Linked DNA regions of Arabidopsis thaliana. The protein of the gene in region 1 interacts with the protein of each later gene in a pairwise test. Each region holds a gene or a part of one and is shown in the gene's direction. Other genes may lie near its edges.

Region 1 (6,550 bases):
ATTACTTTCCTAATTAAAAAAAATACACATAGCACAAGAAAAACCACCGCCCAAGCTTCTCTAGAACCTCTCCATCGTTCTCACTATCACTCCCCCCCCCCCCAAATATAAACCCTAATTTTCACAATCACAGTACCAAAAAAAAATGGCAGCCGCCGCACCGCCACCGCCACCAACAGCAGCACCGGAACCAAACATGGTAGCACCACTAATTTCACCAATCGGCCACCCAATGTTCTCCCGGATCCGTCTGGCAACACCGTCCGATGTCCCATTCATCCACAAACTAATTCACCAAATGGCAGTCTTCGAACGTCTCACGCATCTCTTCTCCGCCACCGAATCAGGTCTCGCTTCAACACTCTTCACCTCTCGTCCTTTCCAATCATTCACAGTCTTCCTCTTAGAAGTCTCTCGTTCTCCATTTCCAGCAACCATCACTTCATCACCATCTCCCGATTTCACACCGTTTTTCAAAACACATAACCTTGATCTCCCGATTGATGATCCGGAGAGTTACAATTTCTCGCCGGATATGTTGAACGACGTCGTTGTAGCTGGGTTTGTTCTGTTTTTCCCGAATTACTCTAGCTTTTTGTCCAAGCCTGGTTTTTACATTGAGGATATATTTGTGAGAGAGCCTTATAGGAGGAAAGGGTTTGGTAGCATGTTGTTGACTGCTGTGGCCAAACAAGCGGTGAAGATGGGTTATGGAAGAGTGGAATGGGTTGTTCTTGATTGGAATGTTAATGCTATCAAGTTTTATGAGCAGATGGGTGCTCAGATTCTGCAGGAGTGGAGAGTTTGTAGACTTACTGGTGATGCTCTTGAAGCTTTTGATCAGGTCAACATCTAGAGATTGATGCTGTGTTGCTGAGAGTTATCGAATCAGATCACTTCCTCTTGCTTTTAAAGTTTGTGTTTTTTTTCCTTCTTCTTGTTGTTACTTTATGCAAGTGTTGGCATTGATGATGATGATGATGATGAATTCTCTATGCTTACTTGTTGGATACTGAATGAGAAAAAAGAACCCTTTTGTTGAATGTATGAAATGTTTCGAGTTTTTAAAGTAAGAGTTATGTATTTGTGTGATTCCTCGTCATATTTGCTTGACCAAAGTATTTGTTCTGTGTTATGGATTTGAAGAATTGGTTTTGTGATCCTAGAGGACAGTGAATTGGAGAGTACAGATAAATTGGTCAAATGAAGAAATTGTGATCAAATGTAGAATGGTTAAGTTGCTTGCGAGGCACACACAAGTCTAATTGCAAACTATATAGGTTAAGCCTTCTTGCTTCAGTTACTATAGAAGACAATAAAAACTAAGTTTTAGTAGTCTCTGACTCTCTGTCTTGTTGTATAGAGAATTAAGAAACCGTGAGCATGAAACAAAAATTCATCTATTTTTATTACTACAACAAAACATTCCGCTTTTGTGTTAACATAGAGAACAAAAGACCCCATTTTACGAAAATGATTCTACTCTTATAAATGGGCTTAAGTGGGTTGTAAAATTTGTAGAAGAATGCACAAACACTTCAACATCTCTAGTTGTCCTACTGGCTTTAAAGAACATCTCTTTGATTGAGATTAATTCACTTGCAATTTATCGGTAAAACTTTAAAACTGAACCAAAAGTAAAAAAGAGTGAGACTAGTTTTTTGTTTGTTAAACATGAAACTGGACATAAAACTGGACAGATACATTCTACTAATATCATGCATTCCGTTAAGTATTTTGAACAAAAAATCTCATCTTTGGAAGAGTATATTATGAAAAATATTTGGATTTACACTCAAAATCATATTCATTTATTAACAATTAAAACTATAAAAAGACATAAGCTAAAGAATTAAAGTAGTAAAAAATTGATAGTTTTATTTCCTTTCCTTTATTATCAACAACATTGAAGTTATCGTCGTGATTACAGAATCCAAAATTGGAAAGAAATGGCAGGATACATATTTGATTTTTGTTGTCGACAAATTTGGACTAAGAGACGTAACAAATCTTGCCAGCTACATGTAGAACGCACCTGTTAATACTGTAAACAATGTCGGCTAACTATTTTGTGCTAACGACAATAAATATCAAAGTAGTACGTGTAGCGTCTAGCTTCTTCTATGAGATAAAACGACGATGGGAGTGTCATTATTTTTCACTCATTTCTTGTATTTTTCTTTGGAACCAAAATGTCTTTTTCCATGATTTAACGACATGTGCTTCACGTTTCTTCATATGTCTTTTTACCGACTTCAACAAATGGTGATGGTATTTATCGAAATTCATCAATTTCTTCCTAAATTAAATTGGTAAAAATACCAATTGTCGAACTCACTCACGAAGATTGGACTGTAAACGGTATAGATGACCGTATTTGCTTCGTGGTATGGTCGTGCGTTGTCTCAAATCGCAAAAGAGCCAAATTATGTTTAAAAAATTCAATGCCATATTAGAAACCTTAATCTTCTCTAATGAATTTGTACGACGTAATATAGAATGAGAGGTTCAAATTATTAAGAAGGAAGTTTAAAAGACTTAGAACCGTTTGCAAAGTTTTGGGAGAGATGATCGGTGACCTATACAATGAGATAATAGAGATTGAGGGATTGAAAATTGAGGGACGCAACCATTACACTGATACGTTGAGTTGATATGGTGATAATTGTTTTTATGTTCAAAAACTTACATAAGTAGATAATGTGGAGTCTCTTTGATTTCTTAACCTGAACGAAAAACCAAAAAGGAGAAGAGAGTGATCACCTAATTTAACGTGTAAAACATGACATTTTCCAAGAAGAGGGATCGATCTAAAAGTCAAAAAAAGGATGAGATAGCGTTTTAGTTTATCATATGTGGCATAGTTAGATTGGCTTGTAAAATAATTTCTAATCCTAAACATGATAGATAGCAGCCTTAGAAGCAAGTAACATCAAATTTTTATAGTATATATATATGGATTCTCGAAACCCTAATCTTCACATCACTATCTTCAAAAACAAGTAACAGAAAAATGGCGCCTCCAACCGCAGCACCAGAGCCAAACACTGTGCCAGAGACTTCACCGACCGGCCACCGTATGTTTTCCCGGATCCGCCTCGCTACGCCGACCGATGTCCCTTTCATTCACAAGCTAATCCACCAGATGGCGGTTTTTGAGCGCCTCACGCATCTCTTTGTCGCCACCGAGTCTGGTCTTGCCTCCACGCTCTTCAACTCCCGTCCGTTCCAAGCCGTCACCGTCTTCCTCTTGGAAATCTCCCCTTCCCCATTTCCCACCACTCATGACGCTTCGTCCCCTGATTTCACCCCCTTTCTTGAGACGCATAAGGTTGATCTCCCTATCGAGGATCCGGACAGAGAAAAGTTCTTGCCGGATAAGCTCAACGACGTGGTGGTGGCTGGATTCGTTCTGTTCTTCCCGAACTACCCAAGTTTTCTAGCGAAACAGGGTTTCTACATCGAGGATATCTTCATGAGAGAACCTTACAGACGAAAAGGCTTCGGAAAACTGCTACTGACCGCTGTGGCAAAGCAAGCAGTGAAGTTGGGTGTCGGAAGAGTGGAGTGGATTGTGATCGATTGGAATGTGAATGCTATCAACTTCTATGAGCAGATGGGTGCGCAGGTTTTTAAGGAATGGAGACTTTGTAGGCTCACTGGCGATGCACTTCAAGCTATTGACAAGCTAAACATCTAGCAGCATGATGATTTGCATGAGACCCATCGAGCGATCGGTCCTTTAAAGTTTGTTTCTCACTTGTTTTTAATTTGTTGAATAAAACATCTCAAGTTTAAGATAAAGATGTATTTGTGATTATGGTTACAAAAGTATCTTCTGTGTTTTCGGATTTGAATAAAATGGAGATTTCTTCAAACTATTTATAAGCCATGTTTAAAAGAAGTTTTCAAGGTGTATTTAATGTGAATAAATAAAATTTTTAAATTATTGACCTCAATTTATATAGAGACTGCACTGTTTTTTTTTTAACCGGACAGCGTTCTACTTACACATGCTAAAGTACGGGCCTTGTCAAAAAGACATAGAAGTGGTAATTAAACAGATAAATTGGAAACATACAATTCCACTTAAATATATATATGGATCATTAAAATCTTAGTATTGTAATAAAATTAAGAAAAACATATCTCAAATGATGATTACATGATAATCAAATTTATACGGTATTAAGATAAAAAAAAAAGTGAAAATTTATCAGTTGACGAGGCGACAATTTTTACGAATCTCACCACCTTGATCTCCAAGAGTAAGGACTTTGATGGAACTCATCTTTATCATGGACCGACCAAACTGAGCAAGAAAAGCGCCGGAGTTTTGGAAAACACTAGCAATGTGAGCGGCGGAGGGATCAGTCAACAAGGCGGCGTCGGAGGTGAAGAGTCCTTTGTTCTTGAGTAGAGAGACGAAGTAGCCACTGTCAAAGGCGAGAGGACCAGTAGGGTCCATTCCGACCACTGCGGAAGGGTTGAGTCTTAAAGATTTGTCGGAGCATTCGGATTTGAGGAAGGAGGCGTAACTAGGGTTTAGGGAAGGATCTGTGTCCCCTTTTCCGGTGAAGTTCAAGAGCCTTCTGCCAAACACACCGCAATGTGCTATTCCTATCGTGTGTGCTCCTATTTTTCATACAATTTCGTTTCTTTTTAATATATAATCGAAAAATTAGGTGATTAAATGAATGATTTATATGAAAATATTAGTGTATCATTCCTAAGAAGATTAATTGACTTTTGAATAATTATCACGTGCAACGCCTTTTCCAAGATTATCCTCAAATATTTGATGGTATATATACGATCGGATATTATACTTTTTCTTGAAGATTGGAGGAAATTAATTTGTAGCATCCCATACACTTCCTAACATGGACATGCACGTGGTCTGATATTCCCGCGATTTTCTTATAGTTTTATGCGTTCTTTAGTTTTATTATTTGTTCCCAATTTTCATTGGTTAGCTTTTAATTCACTTGGTTTCTTATCAGTAACGTATATGCAAATGTGATTACCAAAAAATGATATATCAAATATGGTAAACCTGATAAAGCGACGAGGTCAACGACGTCCAAATCGCTCTCGGCAAAGAGTTTCTGTAGAGTGGTGAAGTTTGCCCCAGCGGATGGTAAGTCTCTGGCCGCCTCCGTTGCCAATGAAACTCTTCCATCAACACGTCCGGTAAACACATTCCATAGCGGCCGTTCAAACTATAACACATCAAACATAGAAACTCAGGGAGTTAGAATTGATTATTGGTTTCATTTGATAAGAAAGACATCTAAAACTAACATATGCGACTAGTAAAATACTAAATTTTTGATTTCTAATCATGAAATTTTTTAGACGAGTTTGTTCATATGTATTACTTCATAAGAGACGGCATCTCGGGCGGCTAAAGTGAGAATGTCAGCGCAAGAGACGGTGTTAGGGCATCGTTTTTCGAGAATATACTTGATCTCATCGATGATTTCAAACCCGGAAAGCGAGAGATTAGGTCTCGCTTCCTTCTCGGACACTGCTTTTCCAGCAACCGAATCTAAAAGCAGCGATGCGTCGCACCCCTAAAAATCATCCACATCAGACTTATCTTTATAAGAAAGATGTTCACATAAAGAAAAAACCCTACATGCACATCATACCCTAACAAAGCAGTCATGGTAATGAACCCTCAGTAACTTGGGAGCCAGGCTACGGTTTGCTTCGACTTTCTTCCACACTATCTGCCTCACGATATCCTCGGCTCCAGGGCAGCTATTGTGATAGAAGTTCATCTTCAGCTTACCTTCCCATCTTCCTTTTCTTATCTTATGGCCATTATTATTGAATCCTTTACCATCAACACAAAGTAATTTCACAACCAAAAACAAAACAAGTGGAAATAAAAACCGAATCTCTAAACTCTTATTAGCCATGTGATCGACTTTAGATTTGATATTTTCTTTTAAGTGTTTCTTCCTTTTGTATATGAGGAATGCACTTGGCAGAGTTGCTTTATATAGAAACTGAGGCTCCATACTTCATATATGCCCGTTGAGTTTCTAATATTTTTTAGCAATTGAATAATTATTGAAATAATAATATGTCTGGGTGGCCAAGCAAAGTTCCCTGTATGTGTTGTGAAAATGAAGGATTAATTATTAAGTTGCAAGTCAACATAATTATTTAGAAGTATTTATAATTCCCGCAAATAATAATTTAGCTTCATTAGTTGAACTATAACGTGAACATCCATTATGCAGATATTTATAGATTTCACTGCTATCTCCATTTATTCACGCATTTCTTTTTTTGTTATTCTTTTAAACTTTCATTGTCCTAATGAAAGTTTAACCTTCTTTGTCAGTGGCCGGCCATTATCTTAAATTCTTAATCCTTCCATCTTGCAATAACTTGGTGTTTTTATATATAGTATCAAAGGAGTAAACGGATTGTAAATTTCACAATTTGAAGCTTTTACATATCATACATACACTCACAAAAGAAATTCAATATCCATGGTCTATTTAACATTAATTCAACAAAAAAAAAATCATGG
Region 2 (9,063 bases), 8.4 Mb from region 1:
ATTTGTATCAATTTTTACACTAGTCCCAACTCGGAACCAGAAAAATTTATTAATTTATAGAAGTTATTAATTTATCGAATATTAATTTATAGAGGTTATACTGTATTTCTCTTTTATTTGGGTTGTATTTCTTCTTTTTTTACTGAGTTTGAGATTTAATTTTAATAAAAATTATCAGTTTGATAAAAAAAAACTAAAAATATAATTTTCTTTATAAACTAATAAAATTAAGTTTCTCATTCTAGCTAAAAGGCTTAGCTTAATATTATTATGAATATTATTCATCTTTCCTCTTTCAAAAAACATATTTTTCATCTTGATTATCATCGGTTGCAACCAAAACGAAAGGCTAAGTTTCATATTCATTTTACTCCCAAACCAAAACAAATAGAGGTAAATAAATTTTTCGTATTTCGTACTGGAGCTTTAATGTTAATTTTACCATTTGTTTTCACCCAAAAAAAACCACCTGAATTTCTTGAACAAATTCACAAGGAAATTAAATTTGTTTTCTGGGTTTTAATTTGTAACAAAATATCACCTGGTTTTATTAAACTAGTTCCATTAGTTAAAATTAAAAATTGCCGGTATTGTTTTGTTAAATATTTTATTTTGATAAAATCCTCTGATCTCTATCATTCGAAGTCAAAGCTGTTTTGTTCACGTAAAACTGCATGTGTGATCCTATATATTGTATATTGATAAATACGTTTAACAATGACAATCTAGTGAGATAGCTCATGTCACATCGACCTATGATCAATGGATTACTTCAGTTTGATAATATGTTTGTATGTGATCACGAATTATATATTATATACCAATCGATTTTTCATTGTTTTATGTACTATAATTTGATTTCAGCTCACTACATATAATATTTAAACGTGACATGTTCATCTTTTTTCGTCGTCGATCGACATATCAACTATAAGATTAGTCGGTTGTACGTATAAATCTTGACCTTTTACCATGGATTTGTCCTATAAAAGCTTACTAGAGACTAGAGACCAGAACGCATTAATATTATTAGGTCTATCTTCTATCACTTCATAGTGTTTCTTTAACACTCATGTTTTGCAAGTGTCGTTTTGTACTATTGGAAAAGATTATTGTTATAAAAAAAAAAATGAAACAAAACTCTAAAAAATCAGTTAATCTTAGTTATAAAACATTATCCTGCTAGAAATCATTGCAACTTTAATAAAGTATTGAGTCTTGAATCGTTATGTCCACTTCGTTTATTTTATATAAAAGTTTGTCAACTAATTAATAGCTGATTTTTTTTTTCTTTTAAGAGAAAGAAGATCTCGAAATGAGAATTAAAGATAAGATATATGGTTAGGTAGCGAGTAGAAGACCAAAGCAAGAAACTACGACCACGACATCTTGCACATAAGAAAAAAAAAAAGTAGTTCAATTTCATTTTCGCTTTGGTCCACTTTATTATTTAACAAAAAATAATATCTAATAAATTACATTAATATAACAGTCCGTGTTAGACTAAGACACGAAGCCTCCCCCACTAAATCGACGCAAATAAAAATAAACAAATGGTGGGGTTAAGAGTTTAATTCGAGCTGTGGAATTTTTTTATAAATATACAAAAATAATAATATTTAAAATAATATATATTACGATAACAAATTTTTATGTCAATCAATTATATTTTAAGAATCTTCTAAAATCAAATATTATTGAACTAATAATTTGAATAATAATTTTAATTCCACTATTATTGAAAATATTCATATCATTAGTTTTTAAGGGTGTATAGTGAAAAAATTCCTCAATTTCAAATATGTTAATACAAATTTCCCTTTTTAAAAATTATCATGAAATTGGACAAACTATATTTATATTGAAAAAGATATATAAACTTATACAACACAAATTGTAAACAAAAATAACATGATGTTCTTCAATAAAATTATAAATCATCAAACCTAAACTCTAAAATTGTCAAAGTAAAAAACCTAAATTGACGAATTCTAATTTATTATAGCGAAATTCTCTGATGTTTGTATGATGTCGAAGTTGATTATGAGAGATTTTGTAAAATTTTGTGTTTTAATTTTAACCATAGTTTATCTAATTTTTACGACAATGTAGAAAGACAGGATTAAGATATTTGAAAAATTGAAGTTTTTTTTTATAAAATATATAATTGAATAATTTCTTATAGAATTTTAGAAAAAAATTTTAGATAAAATTAAAAAACACAAATGTAATTCTTTTATGTAGAATTTGGGGAACCAGACTACAACAAATCATAAATTTCTCTAAATTTACCTAAAATCATATTAAAAATTAATAAATCATTATGAATCTTAAATTACTTAAAATATAAATTTGAAAATACTCCTCTAACTCAGAGATCAATTTTTTCTAATGCCTCGTGATTTTTTTGCATCTTGTAGCTTAGTCACCTATATATATTTTTAGTGGTAACAAGATTCTCTGTTAAAAAAATAATAAAAATTAAAAATAATAATAGTTTATTTTATGGGAAAAGACGCGAGTGGCTCCCACCAGCCTCAACTTTGCCCACGTGGAACCAGCCATATGCGCGGCGTTTAGACAACAAAAAAAAAGCGTGTTGTTTCTTTCTCTCTCTAGAAAGTCAAAAAAAGGAGACAGACAACCAAACACTGCCTTGTCACATCTCTCTCTCTCTTGCTTTTGGCGAGTAACGAGTAAGTCCATTTTCCATGTGCCCACTGTGTCTTCTCTCCTTACACGCCACCATCTCCTCCACCTCCTCCTCCCTCCCTTCTCCAATTCCCAATTCTCCTCCAAACCCTAGGGTTAGGGTTTCCACGATTGCTTCACCTTCCCTTCTTTTTTTAAAACCTCAGATCTTCCGCTTCCTCGTTCTTGTCTTTTTGTTGAGCTGAGAAGCAAAAAAAAAGTGTTCTTTGGCTTCACGAGGAGCCAACAACGAATCGATGCCGGAAATCGATCTTATGAGAGTCGATCATTGTGTTTCCGATGTTAAATTAGATGATTCTTCTTCTTCTCCTCCGGGATTCTTCGATGGTGGTGGTGTTCCGTTAGATTCGGATGTGAAGTTAGACGAAGAAGATTCCGATTCTTTGAAGAAGAGAGGTAGACGTGGTCGTCCGCCGAGAATTTTAGCTAAAGCTTCTTCGCCTCCGATTTCGAGGAAGAGAAGAGAAGATGAAGATGTTTGCTTTGTTTGCTTCGATGGTGGTAGTCTTGTTCTCTGCGATCGTAGGTTAGTGAAGTTTTGAGCTTAGACAAGTTACTCTCCCAGCTCCATTACATTCCTACTTGTAAAAATAGAAACTTTTACTTGTGACTGATGATGATTCTTTCTTAATTTGTCAGGGGATGTCCAAAGGCTTATCACCCAGCTTGTGTTAAGCGTACTGAAGCATTCTTCAGATCGAGATCTAAATGGAATTGTGGTAAGTTGTTCAATTTTTATCTGTTTTCTCTTCTTTGAGATGGTTCATAGTGATGAGGATGGTTTTTTGGTTTCAGGTTGGCACATATGTACTACTTGTCAAAAGGATTCGTTCTACATGTGTTATACTTGTCCGTATTCAGTTTGTAAGAGGTGTGTTAGAAGCTCAGAGTATGTAGTTGTAAGGGAGAACAAAGGATTCTGTGGAATTTGTATGAAGACTATAATGCTTATTGAGAATGCAGCTGAAGCTAACAAAGAAAAGGTATGAGAATCCTGTCTACATTTTGTTACTTTCTCTTACTCGCAGTACTACAAGGTTATTTGTGGAACTTGAGGTCTGTTCTTGTAATGTCGCTTTGTTTTTTTAATGTGGATTCTTTCTTCTAGCTAAATGTATTACATGTACATTTTCTAGGTTCAGGTTGATTTTGATGATCAAGGCAGCTGGGAGTATCTTTTTAAGATTTACTGGGTTTCTCTTAAAGAAAAGCTAGGTTTATCGTTAGATGATCTTACCAAAGCAAAAAATCCATGGAAATCTTCTTCTTCTACTGCCGCTAAGCGAAGAACTACTAGTCGGGTTCATGAAAAGGATGATGGAAATTCTCCTGGGGTTATGAAAATACGTCGTGCTAAAGTAAGGAAAATGGATGCTGTTTCTGTGAGTAATTTGGGTCCTTCTTTGGATTCAAACTGTTCTTTGGGTGACAGACTTCCACAATTGACTAGTGCTGCTACTTGGGCAACCAATGAGCTTTTGGACTTTGTGGGGTATATGAAAAACGGTGATATTTCTGTCTTATCAAAGTATGATGTCCAAACTCTCGTGCTAGAGTATGTGAGACGGAATAATCTACAAAACTCTCCTCAGAATTCTGAAATAATGTGTGACTCCAAGCTTATGAGATTGTTTGGAAAGGAGCGAGTGGACAACTTGGAAATGTTAAAGCTTCTTGATTCTCACTTCATCGATCAAGTTAGGTCTCCAGTCACAGATAATTCAGCCGGAGGAGTCACTGAAACTATGTCTTACCAGGTTAATGCGGGCAGAAGCTGTGATAGGTTAAATACATCTGAACAGCATCAAGAAGGGGAATCACAGCAATTGAACGGGCACAGTATTCAAGTTAGACCTTCCAGTTCTGATAGCAGAAACCATGCAGTTGTAAAACCTGACACAAGTGCCACTCTGTCCAATAAGCCAATTGATGGTTTGGATACAAATATGGTATGGTTATATGGAGATCCAGATGGGAAGATTCATGGACCATTTTCGTTATATAACCTGCGACAATGGAATTCAAGCGGGCATTTCCCACCAGAGCTGAGAATATGGAGGTTGGGTGAACAGCAACACAGCTCCATACTTTTGACTGACGCATTAAATGGGCAGTTCCATAAAACAGGGTTATTACAGAATCATTCTATCCCCAAGCAGGAAGTGACAGCTACTATAGCTAACGATCAAAACAGGTCTGTGGCTGTTCCTAAAATAGAGAGTAGAATACTTGACTTCAGCCCCAACTCAGTGTGCACTGACCAGAGTGTTATTTCTAGCAGTAACAGTGTCATCACAAGGAGCTCGGATGTGAGTAACAAAAGCGGAAACAATTGTAGCCACGCCGTGCCATTGGATTTTTCTCTTTCTAATGAAAGGGATACTGTGGGTTTTATCTCTCTCTGGGACAAAAGAAAAGTTGAAAGTTCTTTGCTTGTACAAAGCCCAATAAGCTGTTCACTCTCGCTGGCTACATTACCTAGAAACTCAAACTGCTCTCTGCCACCACATGAAAGATGGAGTGCTGGTCAGACAGATGGAAACAGTGCAGCAACGACTGCTTGCAATCAAAACGGTAGTCTTAGCGGCTCAGCTGAGAAACAAGTCACGGCTACAGTCCAGTCATGTGGACAGAACTGGAATGCTGCAACTCCAAGCAGTGCTTCAAATGTGTGGGATTCGAACTCGGGTTTGACGTCTTTCCCAGACAATCAAGAAATAGACTTTTTAGATCTCTTTAGTCCAACTTTCAAATTCAACTTTGCATCTACTACCACTGATTGGCAACCCATTGTGGCTGGACCTGACGAATGCGACGAATCAGTCTCAGATCTTTTGGCAGAAGTGGAAGCCATGGAGTCCCAAAAACGTCTTCCTTCTCCAACTTCGACATTCCGTGGTCCTGAAGAATTATTAATCCGGCACTCAATAAACGATAGCTTCAGTCCCGCAGAAGGACATAGCCCAGCACTAGATGTAAGCAAAGGTGACTCCATGAGCTCCACAAACGATCTTCAAATGCATTCACGATCTAACAGCACCGTGCATTTTTAGTCGTGGGCTCGGGTTCACATAGAGAGAAATCATAACCTGGGGCACAGGTTACCATAGATCATCCAATGTCCTAGATTCGTCTGATCGATGGTGGACTATGCCCTCTTTCTTCTCTTTTTTTTTGCAGGATTATTACAGAACATAAATAAATGGCAGAATCATCAGCAAAAATGAAAAAAAACGAGTGGTGCATATGTAGAAGATGTTTCTTCGCGGTATTTTTGACTGCACCCATTGTTTTCTTCAGTATTTAGGTTTTGTAACGTTGTCCTGTGTTAAGATTTGCACAGACATACCCAACTTCTGTATCTTTTTTTTTTACATTGTTTGTACTTAGGAACAAGTATAAAAATGGGAAGAAATTGTTGTCCATGGATGTAATCAAAACATTTGTAGGGATCATATCATCTTATTATTCTATATATATGATAATGATAGTGTAACGTTTCATTCTTTTTGTTTTGAATGTTTCAAATCTATTTATATCATGACAAGTGTAGGCTCCAGTTTATTCTACTTGTTTTTGGAAAATGAGACGAACTCTATTGATCGTTTCTGGATTTGGAAACTTTTTGTTGTTTCTTCGATTTCGTTTTTGTTGATCTGAGTTGATGGTGGAAGCTACGTCAAATTTGACGCCGTCGCAGAGATACGCGGCAAGCGCTTTGTTTGCAATCGCGCTTAACCAAGCGCAGATCAGCCAGTCAAAGCCATTGGGAATCCCGGCCACCGGAAGTACCGGAGAGCCAATCAGCAGCGACAGTGATCCTATCTCCGATGAGGCGGATCTCTGGGTCCACGAAGTTTCCGGCCTCCTCCGTCCTGTTCTCAGGTGATCTTGAAATCATCTGGAATAGTCATGTTCATATGCGTCTCTGTGTGTGTAATGTATACATTTTGAGCTGTCTCTGTAATTTGCTTTCAGATGTCTTCAGATTGATTCATCAGCTTGGCATGGCCTTGAAGAGATAGCTGCTTCTACTCAGGCTAAGGATCACATCGGTGCGGTATGATTAATTTCTCTCCGTATTTTGAAATTTCGTTGTGAATGTTGAGGAGCTCTTCTTTATTGGATGTTACTTTTGGTTTATTGTAGTTTATCAAGTTACTCTCAGAGGATGTGAGTGATGATGATGATGATTCTAGTGAAATGGTGGAGAAAGAGACCGCCTTAGCTAAAGCTGCTGATGCTATGGATCAAAACATTCGAAGCAGCTCTCTATCTGTGGAATCTAAGATGGAGAAACATGTGGAATTCGAAAACGAATGCCGCGACAAGTATTCTGTTCCCGAGGCACAGTCTGGTGCTGAGGTTAAGGAAACGGAGAGCCACGGGGAGGGTGAAATTAGAGATGGAGGCCACAATCTTGGGATTGTTGAACATGAGAAACCTGTTGGGGAAGTAGCATTGCTTAGCCATGAGAGAAAGATAAATGTTCTTTACGAGCTACTATCTGCTTGCTTGGCAGATAAACATGAGGAGAATGAGATATGTACACGGCGTAGGAAAGGCTATGATGCGCGTCACCATGTTGCTCTGCGGTTACTTGCTACTTGGTTTGACTTTCAGTGGATTAAAATGGTCTGTTTGCTTCATTCATTCAAATTATTTTGTAAATTTTATGCTACCACATAGCATAGCAACCCTATAGTTACATGTTAGCTATCTTGTTGAGGATTTAGGATCTGATGACATTGGGATATTTAGGATTCTCTGTTTTGTGCATTTGGATTGACCTGAGAATCAATTTCTGTATTTTCTAGGAAGCAGTTGAGACAATGTCTGCATGCTCTGCCATGGCATTGCAAAAGTCAAGTGGAAATAAGGAAGAAGAGTCTTTGTCACCAAATAGTGAATGGGCTAAGTGGAAACGTGGAGGCATAGTTGGAGCGGCTGCTTTAACAGGGGGTACATTGATGGCCATCACTGGTGGTATGATGTCTTCTAACTGTTAATATCTCTTCCAACGTTTAGAAAATTAAGAGTATGTGTTTGGAAAATGCTAATTCTTAATCTGTTTTGATTACATATTATGTGAAACAGGATTGGCTGCTCCAGCAATAGCTGCAGGGTTCGGTGCATTGGCTCCAACTCTAGGCACAATAGTTCCGGTAATTGGAGCCAGTGGGTTTGCTGCAGCTGCTGAGGCTGCCGGAACTGTTGCTGGTTCTGTTGCTGTTGCAGCATCTTTTGGAGGTAAATAAAAAGTAGAATCAGTTTTAGATTCCTTTAAGAAATAAAATGAATCAAAGTGATGATAATTGTATAGTTCTTAGTCTTCTGTTTTGTTTCTACATGTGTTCATGAATAGCTGCTGGAGCTGGGCTCACTGGGACGAAGATGGCTAGGAGAACTGGTGACATTGAAGAGTTTGAATTCAAAGCTATTGGAGAAAATCATAATCAAGGAGTTAGTTTTAAATTCCTGCTGTTTCATGTTGAAATCTCTTTGCTCTGCATTGATCTCTTTGTTCTTTCTTTATTTTTCTTGTTGGTGTAATAGCGATTAGCGGTGGAGATCTTAGTTGCTGGCTTTGTTTTAAAGGAAGAAGACTTTGTAAAACCCTGGGAAGGGTTAACTAGCAACCTAGAAAGGTATTAAAATGAATTGTTCTTGTGTATATTTTTTGTGACTATATCATAAAATCCATATGTTTGCTATAATACCTTCTTAGGTACACGGTGCAATGGGAATCCGAGAATATTATTGCAGTGAGCACTGCAATTCAGGATTGGCTTACTTCAAGTAATAATATATAGTTTTATCCAATACGTGTAACCATGTAAATCTATCTTTTTGCTATTGCTCTAAGAATAGATAGTAACATTGACATGAACTTGTTGCAGGAGTTGCTATGGAGTTGATGAGACAAGGTGCAATGCGCACCGTACTAAACTCGCTTTTAGCAGCAATGGTTTGGCCGGCAACAATCCTTGTAGCTGCTGATTTTATAGATAGTAGATGGAGTATTGCTATTGACAGGTAAAATGAAAATATTTGATGAAACTGAAATGCCAAATGTGATGAAACCAGTACTGCAAGTAAGTTTATGTGCTATTATTTTCGTATTATCTTATTTCAGGTCAGACAAAGCAGGGAAGCTTCTTGCTGAAGCGCTTCGAAAAGGGTTGCAAGGAAATAGGTATAATTATTGGATAAATTCCATCATATATCTTTATGATAGAAAGTTGTGCAATTAGTATTTTACATCAGCATGTTGATTCTCTTACATTGGAAAACTTGTGAGAAATTCAGACCTGTGACTCTGGTTGGTTTTTCGCTTGGTGCACGTGTTGT
Region 3 (7,716 bases), on another chromosome or scaffold:
AGGTTGGTGAAATGTCTTCTTCTCTCAATTTGTTATTAGTTTCTAGTTTCCTCTTAACAATCTGATTTCTTATGATTAATGTGGCATTGCCACTACTAAGTACCAAATTCTTTATTTCAGATTTGGCCCATTCTTGTGCCAACCTGTGATTGCTGGATTGGGAGATGATAACAAACCCTTCATTTGCACTATGGATTCTATTGGAGCCAAGTATGCTCGCTTTCTTCATTACTTAAGACGTTATATCTCATTTTTCGTCTGTAATGCCATTTAATTTACTTAGTCAGTGACTGTAATCGTGAAACTTGCTAGGTCAGCTAGAAAATGATCGTGGATTGATATTTTGGTTTTAGTTGGAATCTAATTTTGGTCTTTTGTCATCCAATGCAGTGTATGCATGTCATATGAGTGAACTTATTTTACATGTGTTGAGCTGATTTAAATATGATTCTTAATATAGTTGAGATTTTACCGAACATGATAGTTGCAATGGTGAGCATGCCTTGACGCTTGTTCTCTCTAAATGCAGGGAGTTAGCTAAAGATTTTGTTGTCTCGGGAACTGCTTCAGAATCTCTATATGGTGCCTGTGAAGCCATGTTCAAACCAGATATGGTATGTGCCTTCTGAAAACTTGTTTTTGTACCGATTCACTGGATACTCAAATGTGTGTTTATCACCTGAAAATTTGGTAGGATCATTCATATGTAAGTATTCTATTGTAGAATCTTGATCTGGTAGGAATATTTGTGTGCATAGTGCTGGTGATATATGACGTAACTCCAATAATTTTCTCTGTATATTTTAATTTGGCTTAGGATTAAGATGTTTCAATATTGCGATTACTTCCCTGCCATAGTACTGCTTCGATAAAGTTTGAATTTCAAGGTCATCATTCTAAGAAGTGCATTGTAAACAGACTCGTGATGAAATGAAAAGCATATAACTAGACTTAACAAATTTGAGTTTCAGGAAGCTGAGGAACTATTCGAGACAATTTCACAAGCACTTCTCTCTTCAGTTGACCGCGATTGTCTTAGTGGGTGGGGAGGACATGTCTACGTTGTGTAAGTTTTGTTCTCCTCATCTTCTTCTTCTTCTTCTTCTTCTTTTTTTCTGTCACATCTGGCTTCTTACAGAATATACCTCATGTGCACTTATCTTCTAAGGATATGTATTATATAAGATAGTAACATTCTTTCATGGTCATGTTGTCCAGAACACCAAAGGAGGTGAAGGAGAGAATCCTGAAGGGAAGGATGGATTGATCTGATATCACATATCTGCTTTTGTCCAAGTTCGGTATACTCCTTAACCCGGTTATGTAGAAGCTCTCGTCCCATAGTAACTATGTTCCTTCTCTGAAACTGGATATTGTGGTTCGTTCTCTCGGATGTTTTATTTGCTATTGATAGAGTTCAATGAAAATGAAGAAATAGCAGTTGTTATCTTGTTCCAGTACTCGATCATTCTATGTACCTTGTTGTTTCTGTTTTAATTTCGTACCAAGTGTTCCAGATTTCTGGTTTGTCGCAGTCTTTAGTTTTCAAGGTTGGTACTGATCAGTGACACGTTTTGTTGTTTGTCTTCTTAGTGTTCATGTTCGATTCACTATGGGTGACTTTAGAAAGACGTTAACATGTCAACGAAATATTTTGGTCAACTATCAATAAACATGGTTTGGCTAACGAAATCATACAATAACTATGAAATCAATGTAATTTGGAAGGTGATCACTAGTAACTGCAAATAGAAACGAATCAAACTATTATGATGATGATCCTGATGCTGCCATCTGACATTGTGAATGATTTTGCATGTCCTGTTCTGTTTGTGGCGTTAGATCGAGCCAGAGAGGCAAAATCCATACGCATAAGCGTTTTGATGATTTCATATAAAACGTGGCATGTGCAATAGATGTGGTCGTTACACGAATATAAACCCAATCCTGCCGACCTAACTAATCTCGGTGGGTATTCATATACTACCTGTGTGGGCAAAGCATATAAAGGTTCTACTTGGGCAATCATTATCGATGCTCGTAAATTCATGCGTCTAATCATTTTGATTATGAACCATCCACATCATGTCACGTGTCTAAACTCTTCGGTCACTTTTGAGCTTTTTATCAAATTCAACCCGCCACAATAAAAAGCGGCAGAACTAACATTCCGGCTCCACGTGGCATAGATCGAAGCGTTTATCTATTAGGTGGCACAGGCGGCTCGAGATGACGTTCTTGTGGACTCCATTAGAGAAAATGACAGAATTAAGTGGGCATTAGCATAAGTTGATAACTATGAGGTGCTTTTTAAAAAGAAAACTAACAGCTGCGATTCTGTTTTTTTTTGCCGTTAGTGTACGCTAAATCATAGACCTCTTCGTGGTTATAAAGAAAGAAACTTAATTTGTCTCGAATTTGAGTTTGGATGCGACGTTTTACGTACTAGTTTTATAAAAGTAAATGTTATAGACCTTGAATTTCAAAGTGGAATGTATTTTACACACACAATTGATACACCAACAATTGTGGAAGCAAGGATATAGAGTATCGATCTTTAATGGAGAAGAATATATCCTTAAAGTAATCATTACTTTTTAATTACGGCGGAAAGAGAATAGTTAAATTTACGGCGAAAAGAATGTTCATTAATCAATTGATGACGTTCGTTTATAATTTCAAATAAGATCGAAAATAACAGGTGAACAAAGAAAAAATAGACATTAAAAATAGTAAGATCGAAAATACAACCCTTAAAAATCTCACGAAATCAATGAGAGAAACAATTTTGAGATACGGTCAACGTTTGGTCTCCTTTAGGAAAGTACACGCATAAGATCGAACGTGTCGATTCTTATTGCTCGTTCCCAAAATCGACATGCTCTCGGACCGCTACATTCCAAATAGTCTGACGTAAGCAATGACAAAACTCACCTACATTACAGTCTGCCACGTGTCCCTCTCCATCTACTTCAAATGAATCCTCCACTATACAGATTTAACCATTTTTCTATTTTTGTTTGAGATTCCTTTCCACCAACACAAAGCCCCTGTCTATCCGCCATGTGTCCACGACCTTTCTTATATATATAGTCATCTTTCTTCTTTGCTCGAGAGAAGTTTCAACTTTCAAACATATCTTTACAGTTCTTTCTTGCTAAACAACAATAAAGGGGAAAATAGGTTAATTATGATGAAATCTGGGGCTGATTTGCAATTTCCACCAGGATTTAGATTTCATCCTACGGATGAGGAGCTAGTCCTCATGTATCTCTGTCGTAAATGCGCGTCGCAGCCGATCCCTGCTCCGATTATCACCGAACTCGATTTGTACCGATATGATCCTTGGGACCTTCCCGGTACGTTTCTTTCTTTTCCCCTTTAAATCACACTATACACTAACAGTAACAGGATTCTATAAAATCGGTCTAAGAATTAATAAACCGGTTTACAATTTACAGACATGGCTTTGTACGGTGAAAAGGAGTGGTATTTTTTCTCACCAAGAGATCGAAAGTATCCAAACGGTTCAAGACCCAACCGTGCAGCTGGTACTGGATATTGGAAAGCTACCGGAGCTGATAAACCAATAGGTCGTCCTAAACCGGTTGGTATTAAGAAGGCTCTAGTGTTTTACTCGGGAAAACCTCCAAATGGAGAGAAAACCAATTGGATTATGCACGAATACCGGCTCGCTGACGTTGACCGGTCGGTTCGTAAGAAAAACAGTCTAAGAGTGAGTGAATTTATCAGTTCAAACCGAACTTTGAATATGATTTTGAATCGGTTTAGTTAACCGGACGTGTTTTTGATATTCTTGAACAGTTGGACGATTGGGTATTGTGTCGTATATATAACAAGAAAGGTGTCATCGAGAAGCGACGAAGCGATATCGAGGACGGGTTAAAGCCTGTGACTGACACGTGTCCACCGGAATCTGTGGCGAGATTGATCTCCGGCTCGGAGCAAGCGGTGTCACCGGAATTCACGTGTAGCAACGGTCGGTTGAGTAATGCCCTTGATTTTCCGTTTAATTACGTAGATGCCATCGCCGATAACGAGATTGTGTCACGGCTATTGGGCGGGAATCAGATGTGGTCGACGACGCTTGATCCACTTGTGGTTAGGCAGGGAACTTTCTGAGTTGTCACGTGCGATTAGAGTTAGTGGAAAGTGGAAACTATCACTGTCTGTTTTCGCACGTGTCGGGTAGCCGTCTTGAAACCCGCTAGCTGATCCAGAAGTGACCTCATTGGGCTTTTCAACAACAATTGGGCCTTAGCCTTTCTTCTCCCTTAGTAAGACAAGCTACTGTATTGTGTTGTTATTTTCAGGAAGCAATATAAATTCATTTTAATCACTTATATATTCTTTACATTTTTTTTTCACTCAAAACTACAATCTAGCTTCTTCTTTTTTTTTTTTTTTTTTTGTTATGGTTGTACTACAATCTAGCTTTGTTATATATATATATAAGTTAAAAATAGTAACTAAATTACAAACTAAAATAAAATAAAGAAATTGGAAGATATCACTAGTGTTTGGGGTATTAGGGAGGGAGGGGAGCTCGAGATCCGATTTTACTGACTGCATGGTATCGAAAAAGTGTCGGTAATGGTAGGGTCTGACAGATAACAGTCTTATCGTTGCAACTTGCATTCAAACAAATCTCATTGTTCGCTTTAATTTCTAATTAATTTGTTTTTGTCTTTTGTATATTTATTTGATTTTGACACGAGTTTGTCTTTCCTAATAAGACCGAGGCATGATTAGTTTAACCGGTTTGAATTGTTTAGGTTAAATCGGAGTCCAAGTCAAATACATCGCTATCTAACGAAAACGACGACTGAAATTTCGTAAAGTTCCTTACTATAAAACTGATCTAACTATCTTCTACAAGAACAATATAATAAATTTGATGCATTATGAATTCACAAGTTTTAAATCTTTATGATTTTGTAGCTCATGAAATTGAATGATGTTTCTTTTATTATCACATGTCATTAAATAAAAATAGTTATGAGTAGATGACATAAATACTATTTCAAATAAATTTATCCTCCATCTAATTGTTATGAGATGATTATTTCCTATAACATGGTATCTACTATATGGCCGTCTAAATTAAGTATCAACGTTTAAACTGCGCAATGCTCAAGTTTTCATAAGATGTGATTTGTTAGAGGTTAATTAAGAAACTTGCGAGTGTATATGTGGTCTCTAATCTATATTTTAATCTATAAAAAGGGAAGTGAAAATCAAGATTAAAAGCTTGGATGTCATAGTATAAAAGAATAGTAAAGTAAGGGGACCAGACATATTTGTTGCGAACTGGAAAAAAATGAAGACAGTCAATCTCACTGGGGAAGTGTGGGGTTTGAAGTCCATGTTAGGTCTGTTTGTTGTTGCTCTTACAACCTTCACTTTCAATTTACAACCAAATCTTCTTTACACTTTATACTAATTTATTATTCATGTTTCCAATAGCATTAAAACAGTTTTAAAATCTATCCAACTCTTTTTTTCCCCTACTAAATCAGGAAATTCAAATCATATGGACAATATACTCCATCAAACAGTGTAAATCTGTTATCCACAATGCATAATGTTGTGTTTAATTAACTCGCATTCGTCACAACCAAATTAGTGATTTCTCTCTAATTAACCAATGTATGTAGATGTGAATAATACTTATGTAATAGTCCAGTTTTCAACAAACATATCATAGTTTAACGAAATTGGACAGATTCGAGATCACAACTCGGTTAAGATAAAACTGTGAATAGAATATTTTTCTGCCTAGGTTATAACTTAAAACTATAATATTTTTGGGAGCATGTATTATGTGACTTGTGCGAGAATTCTGTGTATATATGGTTGACAAGATGGATGCTATTTTTGTAAATAGCTAGATGGCTACATACATATTCACTCATGTTTTATAACGTAGAGAATAATTAGTCCACCGCTCTATGCCCCATTTGGAATAAGGTTAATTGTTACAACATATATTTTGGTTAAATGGTTCCGAGTTAATAGACCAAATCATATAGTAGTAGTTTGGAAACAAGACATGGTCAAAACGCAAGATAATACATAGACACATAATTTCAGTTTAAAAGTTCTTAAAACTTTAAAGAACAAAACTTAGATGTAGTTTTAAATGTTAATTTACCTGGTTTTGGCATAACACAACCTAGGAGTTAGGAATGTTCCAACTTCCAATACTTTTACATTTATCAAAACATGCGTTAAATAGAGGGAAAAAATGAATCTTGAGGAACGTTTTATTTCTTCCTAATTTGTTGGCTAAAAAATGAATAAGATAAGCTCAACCAAATGGAGACCCAAACAAAGTTGACATTGAAAAAGTCTAAAATTTCAATGTTTATAAAATCTAACAATAATCCTATTCTTTAGATTGGACAACTTTATGCTAAGATAAGAGTAATTCAGAATTCTAACTAAATCACACTCACTCCATTATTATGGCCGCCGTGGAAAATTCAACAACCAAATCTTCAATCATATAAATACTTTTTCAACTGACTTAAAAGTAAAAAAAAAAAAAATCAAATGTGGAGAAATAATAAATCGATATTAGGACACTCAAATGTACTAGTTAACAAGCTTATGATGACAGAAAATTGGATAATTATGGGAAAATAAGATTGGATGATTAAGGGCTGGGAAAAACAAATTGATGATTAAGGAAAGTAAAAAAGTAAAAAAAAAACGAACGAAAACTGAAAAAAAGTAAAAAAAGGGACTGATCTCTTCTCTTTCTCTCGTACGTTCTTCTTCCTCATTCGAGAGAGTTAATTTCACCATTTCTGATTTCGACAACGACAAACGAGCAAAAGGTGATTTTCCTGTGAGCTTCCTCTTCTTTTAAAATCGCAATGCTCCTACTATTTCTATACTATTATTGTTGTTCTCCAATTGATCCAACGAAACTACGAAATCCATTCTTTGTTTTATTTTTTTAGCCCTAGGATTCTGTGATCCAATCTCTGTTTTCTTCTTCGCTGATTCTGGAAGGTTCTTTTGCTTCTTTGAATTTCTAGAAGCGGAACTTTGAAGGTTAAGTGTTACTTTGACCGGACAGATGGATTCTGACTCGGAACTTTATATCCCGGCGCCGTTTGGAGATTTTACGGTGATGCGGATTTTGAGTTAGAAGCGACGCGGAGAGATTTCATAGGTTTCTTCTGCACCACATTCCACGAGGTGTGTAATTTTCTTCTTTATTTTAAATCTGTTGGGTTTTTGAATTCTAACATTGCAATGTTGATTTAATTTACCGTTGTAATTTGAGTATGAAGAAATTCGACATAGTTGTGGTAAGAAAGAATTGAATTTAAAAGATGAAATCTTTGAGTTTTTATAACAAAAAACTGTGAGGTTTCTTTTTTTTTTGGCCATTCAGAGTAGTAGTTTCACTTCGTCCAGTGTAAGTGCAAAGATAGTTTGAATGTTTGGTAAGTTTGAATATTGGTTTCTTCTATTCTAGGAAACCAGAGGCTGAAGCTAAAAGCGATGTTGAAGGCCTTTCTTCCTGGAACGCAGGAGGAGGAAACATTATCTTCTTTGCAGTCTGGGTAGGCACTTTCTATTTATGAATAGTATTTCAACATTATCCTTTCTGTTGTCCTGAGAAATAACAATGGAAGTCGTTGCCTCAAATGTGCAGGAAAGTCGATGCAAAAATGGAAA

What was found. Proteins that work in one complex are often made in the same cells at the same time.
Region 2: the proteins of NATA1 (region 1) and AT2G18090 interact in a two-hybrid assay, tested with the Arabidopsis thaliana proteins (one large-scale study listed by BioGRID).
Region 3: the proteins of NATA1 (region 1) and NAC032 interact in a two-hybrid assay, tested with the Arabidopsis thaliana proteins (one large-scale study listed by BioGRID).

The regions. Positions count from the first base shown.
Region 1 is NC_003071.7:16,295,247-16,301,796, forward strand, and holds NATA1 (Acyl-CoA N-acyltransferases (NAT) superfamily protein), read left to right. Parts: upstream 1-2,863; 5' UTR 2,864-3,013; coding exon 3,014-3,700; 3' UTR 3,701-3,959; downstream 3,960-6,550. Other genes in the region: AT2G39020 (Acyl-CoA N-acyltransferases (NAT) superfamily protein), read left to right, coding at 146-856; AT2G39040 (Peroxidase superfamily protein), read right to left, coding at 4,217-4,635, 5,057-5,222, 5,382-5,576, 5,655-5,927. UniProt on the Arabidopsis thaliana protein: Acetyltransferase that converts ornithine to N5-acetylornithine, which is likely used in plant defense.
Region 2 is NC_003071.7:7,861,553-7,870,615, forward strand, and holds AT2G18090 (PHD finger family protein / SWIB complex BAF60b domain-containing protein / GYF domain-containing protein), read left to right. Parts: upstream 1-2,641; 5' UTR 2,642-2,948; coding exon 2,949-3,238; intron 3,239-3,351; coding exon 3,352-3,431; intron 3,432-3,507; coding exon 3,508-3,695; intron 3,696-3,848; coding exon 3,849-5,765; 3' UTR 5,766-6,268; downstream 6,269-9,063. Other genes in the region: AT2G18100 (transmembrane/coiled-coil protein (DUF726)), read left to right, coding at 6,377-6,597, 6,691-6,772, 6,862-7,347, 7,530-7,698, 7,810-7,962, 8,078-8,175, 8,269-8,360, 8,441-8,511 and 3 more.
Region 3 is NC_003070.9:29,096,839-29,104,554, forward strand, and holds NAC032 (NAC domain containing protein 32), read left to right. Parts: upstream 1-3,000; 5' UTR 3,001-3,190; coding exon 3,191-3,359; intron 3,360-3,461; coding exon 3,462-3,736; intron 3,737-3,825; coding exon 3,826-4,143; 3' UTR 4,144-4,921; downstream 4,922-7,716. Other genes in the region: PBC2 (20S proteasome beta subunit C2), read left to right, coding at 1-2, 121-210, 530-614, 972-1,066, 1,219-1,267; AT1G77460 (CELLULOSE SYNTHASE INTERACTIVE 3), read left to right, coding at 7,540-7,601, 7,694-7,716. UniProt on the Arabidopsis thaliana protein: Transcriptional activator that positively regulates age-dependent senescence, dark-induced leaf senescence and stress-induced senescence.